Linked DNA regions of Schizosaccharomyces pombe. The protein of the gene in region 1 interacts with the protein of each later gene in a pairwise test. Each region holds a gene or a part of one and is shown in the gene's direction. Other genes may lie near its edges.

Region 1 (7,533 bases):
TCATTATTAATTTAATATTTAAATTATTTATTTTTCAAAGAGTTTTTCACTAATCCAATAAATTTCCTACCTTTCTCCAGGTTTGATATGACTTGGGGAAGCGACGCGTCGACTCTTCCATCCACTCCTGTATCCATTGTAAAAACAGCGGATTTCCACAATCCATGGATCCGAAAAACAAAGAAAAAAACTATTTCATTCAAATTATCGATTGTCACACGAAACAAAAGTCTAAACAAATGGATGTGGATAGAATGCGATTTCCTAAATTTCGTGTAAAGACATTAGCATGGTTGCCGGGACAACCGAGATTTTATGATCAGTATAAACAAAATAAAGAAAACAATTATAGGTGAACAAAATAAAAAATCATTATCATCATTATAAAACAGTTTCTCGTGTATTAGGGTATATTTTTAGAAAGTTTGTGAAATGATGAAGCTTTAGATCATAATAAAGCCATACTTGGATGATTTTCTGTTTTCCTAAAAGGAAGGGGTTTAAGAAGATCCCTTTTGTTTCTCGAGCTGCTTGGCAGAAGTATATGCTCTTTGGCGTTCCCATAGGACAAATTTGATAGCTGCCATGGTTTTATTGACTGCAAGTACACGCTCATTTGAGGCTTTGGGAATAGTCAACTGTAAGCGTTTCATTTCAGCCCTTTGTGTGAACAATAGGTTCTTCTCTCGGAGACAATTGTACCAAAGTCCATGTAGATCATTAAAAGACTTCCAACGAAGCTCTTCTGCAGCCCATGCTCTACCGAATTTAGCCTCTTCCGATGGTGGTGGAAGGGCTTGCTTGTCCCGAAAGAAATTCCACAAAGGGTGCGTGTCTGAAACCTTAGGAGCACTTTTTACTTTTGGAACAGGAAATACAAAGCCCTTTGGAATACGTACGGCTGCTTTCTGAGCGCTAGCCAACGTGGACCTCATCTTTGGTGGTAAGTAGAAGGTGCGCTGTAACACCCTGACATTGACCGATAATAATGGTTGTAAGTCATACTTTAAAAATAATTATTTTTTATTATACTTCATTGACTTTCTTAATTATTGCTAAATTGAGAAATTGTTCATTTCCTTATTTTATTTTATTTTAAGATTTCATGGCGAGGAAACATTCCAAACGAAAAGTTTATAATGTAAACAGAAAGTGTGTAGGGCGATTTATGTATTTTCCCTAGATTTGTTATCGAGTGAAAAGTTTGAATCCATGAAGGAAATACTAAAGTACTTTGATTTGCAGCTAATACATGGTGTAATGATACATTGCTTTCGACCGCTTATAAATTTATTTCGAGATTAACGGGACGCAACCGTTTAATTAAAAACGGGAAGTAAAGAAATTTTTTTTGTCTATACATTTAGAAAAATTTGTTCAGTTTCATAAAACAGTAGCACATAAATTTTGAGGATCATCGGTGGGGAAAGAGACAGGCACCAATTTAGGTACCTTACGGTTTCGTTGAAAAGTAGGAAGTAAAGAGGGTTGGAGGTGAGGGTATTCTTCGACTGTTGCTATTTGATAGATGCTACCGGAACGGACCAGTTGACCTTTATTTACCATCCAACGAATGGCCTCGGAAGCGCTGTCGTGAAAAGTTGGTAACAATGGTACGTTTTGAGCAAGCCAGTTAAATATTTCATCTTTGGAAGGTGAGAGGGTGTTACGAATAGCTAACCGTATTAACGTTGGATAGTCGTATAAGGTTCCAGAATTCGCAACATAACTTGCGGTATAGGGGACAGGTGCAGGCTCATCAGAGGGAGCTTCATCTTGTTTAGCATGAAGTCGCTCTTGTAAAGATATTTGTTGGCGTTCAGAACTAACAAGTAGTTGATGCCGAATCTCACCCAACAACTCCCGAGTACGTGGGTTGTATATGGGAAGAGATGGATAAGACTTTTCACAAAAAAGAATAAGATCTGCGAGATGAGGAGTAGGTAAACTTGATAGATACATTTTTTTGTCTGATTCACTTAACCCAAGATCTTGTGCCGTCATTCCCGTTTCTAAAGGTTGCTTGGCACGCCTGTACTGGCATTTCATACAAAACCATTCAGCATCCACATCCTGAACGGTTGCATCGTCAATCGGAGGGTGATGGCAAAGCTGATGATATGGAGAATTGCATCCATCACAAAATACGATTCGATTAGATAAAGGAGAATGTCCTCGTTGACAGACGCTACACAAGGTGACCATATCGACCTTGCGACTTTTCCGTTTCAATGCGGTGGCATTAGGATTGTATGCGACTGGCCGCTGAATCTTTCTACCCGATTTTGTTTTCATTCCTTCCACGTGAAAGTCTTCCTGTAAATCATCCTCGGCACCTTCTGCAACATCGAGATCGTAAAATGGTATACGATTATCGTCTTCCCGACGAGACGATCGAATGCGTCCATTCTTAGTCTTGGTTGATGCAGACTTGGGCAAGCGATTGAATGATACAGACAAAGAAGGATCTTGCTCCGGTGGTACTGAAGTAGCGCCTGAAGAGGAAGATGCAGGCATAGTCATACCGCCATACGGTGTCTGTACATGCTGCTGCAGTTGATGGAAATCAGCGCCAAATGGTCCAACATCGGAAATTCCAGAACCCGATGCGACAGGGGAAGCATCAAAATTCGAGCTGTCCGTTTCTCTAACTACACCTTGAGCCGATACCTGAGGAAGGGATGAATCAGCACCATTTTCAAAATGGAAACCGGCATAGTCATTTACACCATAGCTCTTTCCTTCGTCGAAAAAATTCTTTTGAGACATTGTAAAAAACGAGGACTAATAAATATGAGTAATTTGGAAAATTTTGATTTAAAACGAAATGCACAATTAGATGAAACTAGCAAACATGAAACGCAAATTAAAATGATGATACACGCAATTGTCACGCAGTGAATGTTAATTCAAAATATCTGAGACCATAGAATAACTTTATGTAAAAAGTAAATCTTCCTAAATCTCAATTCATTGATGTAAATTCGCCATTCAACGAAAGATGAGTTTAACACGCGCGTCTCAAGAAGAAGGTATGCATAGGCCATATAAAACTGGCATCGTTTTACAGAGCCAGCCTTACATTACGGTAACAACATAAGCAACAAGACATTTTCATTCGTTAAAATGCACAAAGCACATCGTATAAGACACGTTAATCATCACTAATCTAGCTTCTCGGCATAAAAAAATTTTAAAGTAAAACGCACAATAGCCTATGTAAGCGGTCCAATAAGTAGTAAGTTGATAACTTTAATTAGTAAAGAGGGCGAATCAAAAGCTTTATATATATCTAAACTTTACTAAATTGGCCAATCAGCAATGCGTTTTGAATCAACAAAATGAGGTATGACAAAGAGAATTTCTTGCTCTACATCCCGGCAGTCTTTTGTTCGTCTACCAAACAACAAGGAAAAGGCATTTTGGGCATACATATGCCAAACTTGTGATCCTTCACAGTACAAATTGCTCAAAGATGCCTGTCTTTATGTTTGATGAGCACGACAATTTGAATGAGAATTACAATTCCCATTTGTCTAGTGACGATGAGATTGCAGAGGAGGGATATGATTTTGAAGAATTGGAGGCATCTGCGTCGACAATCACTTCGTCAAGTGATTTGAAGGATGGAAAGAATGCCAAAGATGAAAAGGGGACGGTAGAGTTTAAGGTTGCTGCCCATGGTGATTTTATTTCTTCCAAGGGTGACAACTATGTACCAAGCGGAAAGATGCGTCCAGCAGACTTTCAACCCTTAACGGTATTGGGTCGTGGCTCTTACGGAAAGGTGCTCCTAGTGAAGCAAAAAAATACTGGACGACTGTTTGCTCAGAAACAGCTAAAGAAAGCTAGCATTGTTCTTCGTGCCAAGGGCCTCGAACAAACCAAAAATGAGCGACAGATATTAGAAGAGGTTCGACATCCGTTCATTTGTCGCCTTTATTATGCTTTTCAAGACCACGATCGTCTTTATCTGATATTGCAATATGCACCTGGAGGAGAGTTATTTTCTCATTTGGCCGAGCAAAGGATGCTTCCTGAGGATGTGGTTGCTTTTTATACTGCTGAATTGACTCTAGCATTGATACATTTACATAAACTTGGTATTGTGTATCGGGACTTAAAGCCAGAGAATTGTCTTTTGGATGCTGAAGGCCATATCCTTCTTACAGACTTTGGATTGTCAAAGGTGGCTGAAAATGGAGCTGATTGTCGTTCTTTTGTAGGCACTGAGGAATATTGTGCTCCAGAAATTTTGTTGGAGCAGCCATATGATCATGCCGTCGATTGGTGGTCTATGGGTATCCTCATATTCGATCTTCTTACAGGATCTCCCCCCTTCACCGCCAACAATCATAAGAGAATTATGGAAAAAATCACTCGTGCAAAGCCTAACATACCTTTTTATGTGACTTCTGATGCTAGAGACATTATCAACAAATTTCTCAAGAAAAATCCAAAGCAACGCCTCGGCGCAGATGGTCCCGAGAAAGGTTACGATGCAATAAAAAAGCACAGAATTTATCGCCGAATTGATTGGAATAAGTTAGAGAAGCGCATGCTGCCTCCCCCAATTGTTCCTTGCATCACCAATCCTGAGGCTGCGGAGAATTTTTCAGTCGAGTTTACCAAATTGCCTCTTTCTACAACACCCATTCTTCATGAAGAATTTGGGAATTTAACAATTGGTAGCCATTCCTCTGCTTTTCAAGGCTTTACCTATGTTGCGTCTCCCAATTTTCTCAACTGTGAATTTTTATCTAACAACGCAGTTTCGAACCATTAAATAGGTTTCGCTAAAGCATCATTTACTAAGTGCTTTTTTATTTTATGTGTGAAAAGGATATTTTATTTTAAACAAACTGATTATTCTCACTATATCATAACTCCTTTCATCCTTTAGGGACTCATAATACTTGAAGAAACTCCATTAATTAATCGTTTTCTATCGAACATCGATCCTTAAGATTCTAAGATTTTAATTATAATTACTGTTAATTCTTTCATTAGTTGCTTCTTTACTTAATCCCTTTTCACTAACCATATTATTATTACACAATAGAAAACTTTAATTTTATATATATTTATATACATACTTTACAAAACATCGGTCAGCTTAGTGTTTTCTTTAATATATCAATTGTTCATACTTTATATTAACATTAAAAACAATTTCCTGTTGAAACGAATTAGCAACAAATGATTTATAAAAATACAGACTGAGGGCTAACTACAAAAAATGATAAAACAGTGATCTTATAATGCTATGTTAATAATATCAAGCATGCCGACATTAGTGACTCGATTCCCAGTGTCAACGGGAGATAAAATCGATTGTTATGCAAACAAGAAAGAGGCAATTATACAAAAGAGACATATAAATAGATCGATTTGCAAAAATAATGGCATATGCCCGAATAAAACGAGTGTATAGTGGAGTCAATGACTACCTAAAATAATAATCTGCTGAACAAATAAGTGATGGAACGACGTTCATACAAACATTTCAAAATTAATAGAATAAGGGCTGTTCAATGTAGCAATGTAAAAAAATAATAAAAATCTGAACCAATCAACCAAATTCTTAACGAACAAGGGCATTCATAAAATTAGTAACGAGAGTAAAGGTTTGACAGGTTTGACAATGGGCAAACTCAATTGGTAAACAGACATAACTAAGTAGACTTCTTCAAGTGATTATGAAGCTGAGATATTATATGCGACTTGCTGAATCGTGATGATGAACGACTAAGGTGATGTTTCGAAGAATCACTCATTTCAAGCTTTGAAGCAGAAGAGTTACGCTTTTTTGCAACCTTTTCTCTTCGACGCTCTATATCCTTTTGGGAGGGAGTGCGCCTAAAATTCCTTCGGAAACACAAGGAGAGAAATGCATTAGCGTCAAGTAACGATTTGGGTAAATCTTGAATCACCTGAAATACCTCTGTCTGCTCACTTTTCGACTTTATATCATCTTCACCAAGTCTTAAAATACACAATGCCGTCATAAACAAAACTTTGCTGCCTTCATAGAAAAAACAATCCCATACACGAAGAGCAGTCTCCGTAGGTAAAATGCCAACAAAGGCACTCATAAACCAGGCAGCAGTTACGAGAGTAATGGGAGGAAGCTTTGCCACAATATCATTGACGGGTATACCATCAAAATTAAGACTGATGCGGCTCCAAACCGCTGGTAAGCTTTCTCGAACGGATGCCATCAAAACACTTTGGTCGATGTTAGCACCTTCTAAATTGGCATCATGCATCTTTGGTAAATATTTACGACACGTAATTACGAGCATCCAAAACGCCTTTTCTTCACTCATAAAAAGCAGGAAGAAACCAGCAAGAAAATTCAAGCTTTGACAGTAACCATTTTCAGGTAAGTATGTTGCAAAAGTCATTAGAACACGACGCAGTTTTGAAATCATTGGAACATCAGGCTCCTCTGATGAATGCTCTGATGCGTCGGATGAGTTCCTAGAATGCTTGGATTTATGTCGAAAATGTACATTGTCTGGAAAGGTACGATATAGATCACGTTCAATAAGGTCAGAATCTGAGGGCTTTTTTATGCACGCACAACGCCATAGAGTCTCGTACAGTTTAGGGTTTCTCTGAAGTAATTCGTAACCACCGCTGTAATAAAACCAGGCATTGCCACGATACTCGGGTGGTATTCCTTTGCGAATAAATCGTTGAGTTTTAGCACTGCGGCTAGGAAAAATACTAGGAGATTGGTGTATATAGTCTATACCGTTTTCTTGAAGGAAAAGCTTCCATCGCTGTTCGCGACGCTCCAGGTAGCGGCTGTAAGGGCCATACCATGTGTTGTATTGGTCAACGGTATAAAACTGGTTGGCTTTTTTGAAACCATATATATCCCAGCTTGAATGGGAGGGCTTGTACTTTTTGGGTCCTCGGAGCTTTTTGGTGAGAGGACCTTCTTCATAAGTGACGTCGCAATTAAGGGAGTTGGTTTTGAAAGGAAGGCTTGGATCTGTTTGGGATGAACGCTTTTCACTCTGGGTTTCGTTGGTAATAGTGGCAGCGGTGACGGCGGAAAATTTGGAGGAGGACGTTTCAGTACTAAGGCATGATTCACGCTTCGAAAGTTCAGTAGAAGTAGATAAGAAATCAGTTGGAGGTATCTCTAAAGAAAGTCTGAACTTGCTTTCGTATTCATTGTTAGAATCAACGACTGGATTCTGCAGATAAGCACATGATGTAAATGCAGGATGATTACTAGGCGTAATTGAAGCATAGTCAGAGTTATTTTCGTGCTCAAGTATGTTATGATGACTGTAAATGGGATACACTAAAGCATCTAGTGCATGTTCACTCTCGCTAGATAAACTGGAGGATGGAGACATTATGTAGTTATTAACATCGTCTGCATCATCGGCATCGTCTTCAGTAGTATCATTGTAAAGATCTAAAACATCATCTAATTCATAATCTGAAGGTGTTTTATCCTGTTCACTACTTCCAAAGTGGATTGATGCATCTGACAGGTGAGCATTCTCCTCT
Region 2 (6,602 bases), on another chromosome or scaffold:
TTCCGCATTCAATCCAAATTTGGTCAAAGCGCTAACGGCAGCGGAACGTACGATGGCATTCTCAAGCATAATCCGATTGTAAATATAGCGGATAAATCTCGTTGGTTCTGAGGCTTTAGGACCTTCTTCGCCGAGAATAGATAAAATCCGTACCGCAATCTTAGGATATTCACAATCCTCTATAAATTCACATAACTCGGCAAGGGCTCGTTCTTTAGATTCCGGAATGTATTTAATCATGTCAGAAATAGCATCAACGGCAGCACGTTTAAATTCATAACCACCTTCATCGCAAAGTATATTACTAAGAAAGGTAAGCATTGAATCTTGCTTGCGAGGAAATTTTAGACATAAAGAACGAATGGCATCAACGACGATAATTTTGAAATTATCTGAAATATCGGACATAAAGGTAACAATCTGTTTCATCAAACGGTCGACAGACTCATCATTACCAGTCTTTAGAAGTGTTGTGATAGCGTAGGTGGCAATGGAGCGATTCACGTCGGTAATTAAAGACTCGATATTAAGATTGCAGGAATGTACTAAGTGTGGACGTGTCATGGCTAACTCGTTAAGCGTACGAATAGCTGAAAATCGGGTAGCGGATCGGTGAGACGACAAGAAAATTTTAAGAACGCTAACCACAGGTTGCAAGTCATCATCTGAGATATTTTTGAGACGGACCATATTTCTAGCAACTTCTAAGTTTACCATGTCTCCTTTACTTTTTAACCACCCATGTAGAAATGGAACCATCTGGTCTCTAAATTGAGTGTTTTGATCCATTAGACTAGAAATGTAGCGGATAAGCATAACAAATGCATGAGAATTTGAGACTGTTCCTAAATTGCTTACAAGCAGCTGCAATAACTTATTCATTGCAATCGAATCATGTCTTCGAATACGGTACAGAAGACCTAAAGCATGATATTGAGAAATGCCGCTGGCATTTGGTGTGTAACCCAAGGTAGAGGTGAAAAAAGGAGAGCTAGCAACTTTTCTACCAACATTATGAGATGTGACCGCGTCTTGAACCTCGTTGTTCCAACGCGATACAATGTCTTTCGCAACAGGATATAAATGATATGCGGAAACAAGAGCAGCGCTGGCAACAGCTGATATGGGGTCAACAATACCCGTAGTTAAAATGCGTTCAATCGCAGGGACAGTGTTAGCATCAATGACACGAATCAAAGAGCGAATAGCATTAGGACGGTATATAGTTTCACGTCCCGTAGCGGTGTCTTTCATGATACTACTGGTAATCATAATCACATCTTCAGCAACAACGGAAAGCTCCTTGATAATAATATAAACAAATTGGCGAAGACTAGGGTCTTTGTGTTGGAAAAGTTTAGTAATACCAAAAAAGAGTTCTGTAGCTTGCTTTTCCTGGAAATGCTCTCCCGTATATATCAAGTAGGCGATTTTGCTAAGAAGACGTCTACTCTTTCTAGGGCTTATGGAAGATGAATTAAAAGCCCTAGCATCTTGAGTTACTGTGACTTGATTGACATTGGCAAATATCGATTCGTCTATTGTTAAAAGGTCAGCTCATAATTCCAAACAATCAACATACCACCATCATCATCTTTTTTAGAATAACTCATCTTCTTTACAAAAGTCTCTTGTATTTAGCAGAAATACAGATATAGAGAACTAAATGAACGTACTGGATGTATGTAGTAGATAAATAATTAGCTAGTAGGAGGTTTCGATTATTACCAAAGTATAACGTGTTGTGTATTTTATATTTCTTAAGTGGATTACTGAAGTATTTTACGAGCGTTAAACAGTATAACGAAATATGCCCATAAAACACTGCAAAAGTTCGTAACTTACATGGTTTAATTGCTTTGACATTTCTCCTATATCACTTGCGTAATTCGTATATACATACAGAGTCATCTTAATTTTCTCTTATTTTTTTTTGTTTTGTTAATTAAGTTTCCCTTGAGTTCCTGATTTACCGACCTTTTGTACATAGGGAAGAGTTCTTGAAATGTTGTATTTGATTTTGAGCTATGCGACATGAATGATAGAATTAGTGAAGTATCTGGTAGCTCAAGGGCTCGTAGATCAGTCTTAAGCTATGGAACAACCGAGACCGGAAGCGATAGATACACAGAGAACAGCAACATTGCTACAGAGAATGGTGTCGATACAGCGAGTTCAATGATAGATGGGATACAGTCCGGATTCCCGCAACCTAGACATGGTTTTGAAGAAGAGTACAACAATGCTGAATATATAAACATGTTAGAGCAGGTCTTTTACATGTATTACACTGATAAACGGCATCGGGGGGTGATCAGCAAAAAGAATGCCGAACCTACTGAAACAATTCATGATTGGAGAATGCGCGAACGGCTTAAAACTGTTTCTGCAGCATTGTTAGTTTGCTTAAACATAGGGGTGGATCCTCCTGATGTTATAAAGCCTAATCCTGCAGCGAAATATGAATGTTGGATTGATCCGTTTTCATTACCTGCTTCTAAAGCACTTGAAGCCATTGGCAAGAACTTGCAGCAACAATATGAAACATTAAGTATGAGAACAAGATATAGGCATTACCTTGATCCCGCAATTGAAGAAGTCAAAAAACTTTGCATTGGTCAAAGACGAAACGCTAAAGAGGAACGGATCCTTTTTCATTATAATGGTCATGGTGTCCCAATGCCTACTGCCTCTGGTGAAATCTGGGTTTTCAATAAAAATTATACTCAATACATTCCTGTATCGCTTTATGACTTACAATCTTGGCTTGGAGCGCCTTGTATATATGTTTACGATTGTAGCGCAGCTGGGAATATCATAGTGAATTTTAATCGTTTTGCCGAGCAGAGAGACAAAGAAGCTCTCCGTATTGCTAAGCAAAATCCCAATGTGCTCGCTATGCCTTCTCATACTAGTTGTATTCAACTTGCTGCTTGTGGGCCTAAAGAAACCCTTCCGATGAACCCAGATCTGCCAGCTGATTTGTTTACTTCTTGCCTTACCTCCCCAATTGAAATTTCGGTTCGTTGGTATGTCTTGCAAAACCCGTTTCCTAATAAGCTTAATTTGAATATGCTTCTTAAAATTCCCGGTCGCTTGCAAGATCGGCGTACTCCATTAGGCGAATTAAACTGGATATTTACTGCTATTACAGATACGATTGCTTGGAATGTCTTTCCAAAGCATCTTTTCAGAAGATTATTTAGGCAAGATCTTATGGTAGCAGCACTGTTTCGTAACTTTCTATTAGCGGAACGTATAATGCTCGTTCATTCCTGTCATCCTCAGTCCAGTCCTGAACTCCCCCCTACCCACGATCATCCTATGTGGAATTCTTGGGATTTGGCCATTGATAATTGTCTATCTCAGTTACCTGATATGCTTGATGCTGAAAGCAAAGGCATAGCCTACGAGTACAAGCATTCGACATTTTTTAGTGAGCAATTAACTGCCTTTGAGGTATGGCTCTCTCAAGGACTAATTAGCAGAAAGCCACCGGATCAATTACCGCTAGTTTTGCAGGTATTACTTTCACAAGTTCATCGATTGCGTGCACTAATTCTTCTCTCAAAATTTCTGGATCTCGGGGTGTGGGCGGTAGATTTAGCGCTCTCTATTGGTATATTTCCTTACGTTTTGAAACTTCTCCAGTCTCCAGCTATTGAGTTAAAGCCTGTGTTGGTATTTATTTGGGCGAGAATCCTTGCTGTAGATGATTCTTGTCAAGCTGACTTACTAAAAGACAATGGCTATGGATATTTTGTCCAAATTTTGAACCCTAATTCTTCCATTTTTCCTTCAAGTAATATTTCCGAACACCGAGCAATGTGTGCGTTCATCCTCAGTGTTTTTTGTCGTGGGTTCCCACAAGGCCAGCTAGCTTGTTTAAACCCACAGGTTTTATCACATTGTCTTTCCCATTTAAATAGTCCCGACTCTTTATTAAGACAATGGGCTTGCCTATGTATTTCTCAGCTTTGGGAAAATTACTCTGAAGCTAAATGGTCTGGAACTCGTGATAATGCACATGTAAAATTAGCTGAAATCATCGTTGACTCCGTTCCTGAAGTTCGTGCATCAGTTTTAACAGCGTTTACCACTTTTTTGGGATTTCCTGAGAAGACCGAAGAAGTCGTTGCTGTTGAAACTTATATTGCAATTGCGGCGTTAGCAGCTCTTTCTGATGCGTCACCATTAGTTCGACATGAACTAGTGATATTCCTTTCTCACTTTGTAGTGAATTATAAGAAGCAATTAATGGTAGTTGCGTATGAGAGCAGTTTAGCAGATATCCTTGAGAAAAAGAACCACAATTCTATCAGTGCTTCGACAATTTACGAAACAGTTTGGCAAGCTGTTTTGGTTTTGGCTGCAGATCCAAGCATCGAAATTTCTCTTGCAGCTGAAGCCATAATAAATTACGTTTATCAGAGTATGCTAAATTCTGAATTAAGAGAATCATTTTTAGCATTTCTTCTGCAACACTTACCTGCTCTCCATAAAGCTTCTCTTTCCAAAGATACCGATACTAATTCAGTTACGAGCGACCCGAAGCCACATCCCTTCGTTCCTTCTGTTTCAGAAAACAAAATCTTGAACAGGTCATTCTCTCTGACTAGATCGTTGAAAGGCTTGGCTTTAAGCCTGGCAGGAAGTGATCGCGCTTCTGAATTACTTTCCTTAAATGGAGAAAACAAACCTGCAGAGTCTAATTTAAATCACTTAACTTCCGCCAAAGTTCCTGGTCCACCTGCATTTAATGAACTTGAATACCAATCCGAGCTAGACATGCCGCTTACAAGTTACTTATTTGATTGGTCTCGTAAGTATTTTACCGAACCCCAAATGCGGCCGAACGAAGACGATGAACCTGGAAGTATTTGCTATAATCAACGTTTGTGGAGAAGAAACAGAAACGAAAAACTTATTTATCGTACTCGTCCCCTTGCTGAATACTCAACCAACGGTCGTTGGAATCAACAACTTATGACATTTAATAATACTATCGCTCCTAGGAAGCTTATGTTTCACCAATTTGAAGATCAGTTAATTACATTAGGTGACAAAGATATCATTCAGGTATGGGACTGGCGTCGCAATCGTTGCCTCAATTCTTTCAAAACTTCAGCAAGTGCGACAACTAACGTGACCGACATGCAATTACTAAATGAAGATGATGTTGCTTTATTGATGACTGGGTCTTCTGATGGCACAATTAAACTGTATCGTGACTACGAAAATGAAAAGGTTGAACTGGTAACTTCGTGGAATTCTCTAAGTGATCTTGTCTTTGGAGATCGAAATGCTAGCCTTTTAATGAGTTGGCAACAGAACTGTGGGCACTTGCTTGTTGCTGGAGACGTACGCGTTATTCGAATATGGGATGCTTCTAAAGAAATCTGCTATGCAAACCTACCAGTAAGAAGCAGTAATAGTATTACAAGTTTAACTAGCGATTTGGTCGGTTGTAATATTATAGTTGCTGGATTTTCAGATGGAGTTCTTCGTGTTTACGACAAACGATTGCCTGCAAGAGATTCACTAACGGATGTTTGGAAAGAACATTCGTCCGAGATCGTCAATGTTGAAATGCAATCCTCCGGAATGCGAGAATTGATTTCGGCGAGTTCAGATGGTGAAGTTAAGCTATGGGATATTAGGATGAATCATTCTTTACAGACTTTTTCAACAGACAACTCTGGACTCACCTCTTTAACTGTGCATAGTCACGCCCCAGTTTATGCAACCGGTTCCTCAAATCAAAGCATAAAAATTTGGGACACGTTAGGCCAGAATATTAATACCTTCCGTGAAAATCCACGGTTCCTTAATCAGCCTAAACCATCCAGTTTAATGTGCCTGAAGTTTCACCCGCATCATTTATTACTTGCATGTGGTGATAACACAGATAGTAGAGTTAATCTATACTCTTGCACCAAAAACGAGATTCATACGGATTCGCCGAACGAGTTTTAAACCATGTTTTCCTATAGTTTTAACATAATTTATTATTGATTACTTTACCTGATTAGACTTTTCTTTCTATTAGCAACACTTAATTTGGTTATTATACATATTTTGCTAAACCTGCCACTTTGCTTAGTCTTCTCCTTTGCCGTGTAACTCTGCTATAGATATTTGTAAAACCAATTTTTAATATGGTTTTGAAGAAGTTTAAAAAATCACTAATTTACAATTAAGATATTACATTCATCGAAAAATTGAATCTTTTATATACATTTTATGAAAAAGCTAGTAATTATCAATGTTTTTTAATGTCAAGAAAAAAAAGCTTTTTTTAACTTAAAAAATAATTAATAATATACTAATATACCAATTTATTTATTTATTCACAATTTCATGTTTTCGCATTGTACTATTACTTTCTTATATTCGGGTCGTAAATTCTGATGCAGCTGAAGCTAACGAAAACTCTCCCATTCAGCGAAAATTTTATAATGGCAGATTCCGAAGAATACAAGACTGTCATTGGAATTTCTTTTGGAAATCAAAACAGTTCTATTGCTTTTAATAGGGTAAGAAAATTTTTTTACTTGGAGAAATGAGTAATCTCCTAGTTCATTCGCATAGACTTGCTTTAT

The links. Proteins that work in one complex are often made in the same cells at the same time.
Region 2: the proteins of psk1 (region 1) and mip1 interact in a two-hybrid assay, tested with the Schizosaccharomyces pombe proteins (one study listed by BioGRID).

Annotation. Positions count from the first base shown.
Region 1 is NC_003421.2:455,353-462,885, reverse strand, and holds psk1 (serine/threonine protein kinase S6K family Psk1), read left to right. Parts: upstream 1-3,390; 5' UTR 3,391-3,475; coding exon 3,476-4,786; 3' UTR 4,787-5,177; downstream 5,178-7,533. Other genes in the region: Holliday junction resolvase subunit Mus81, read right to left, coding at 71-166; mrpl4 (mitochondrial 54S ribosomal protein uL29m), read right to left, coding at 501-935; PHD finger domain-containing protein Phf1, read right to left, coding at 1,384-2,769; GTPase-activating protein Gyp3, read right to left, coding at 5,676-7,533.
Region 2 is NC_003424.3:1,516,723-1,523,324, reverse strand, and holds mip1 (WD repeat-containing protein), read left to right. Parts: upstream 1-1,882; 5' UTR 1,883-2,034; coding exon 2,035-5,976; 3' UTR 5,977-6,102; downstream 6,103-6,602. Other genes in the region: coatomer gamma subunit Sec21, read right to left, coding at 1-1,538, 1,583-1,613; ssz1 (putative heat shock protein Pdr13), read left to right, coding at 6,459-6,536. UniProt on the Schizosaccharomyces pombe protein: Component of TORC1, which regulates multiple cellular processes to control cell growth in response to environmental signals. Tor2 is essential for growth. Nutrient limitation and environmental stress signals cause inactivation of TORC1.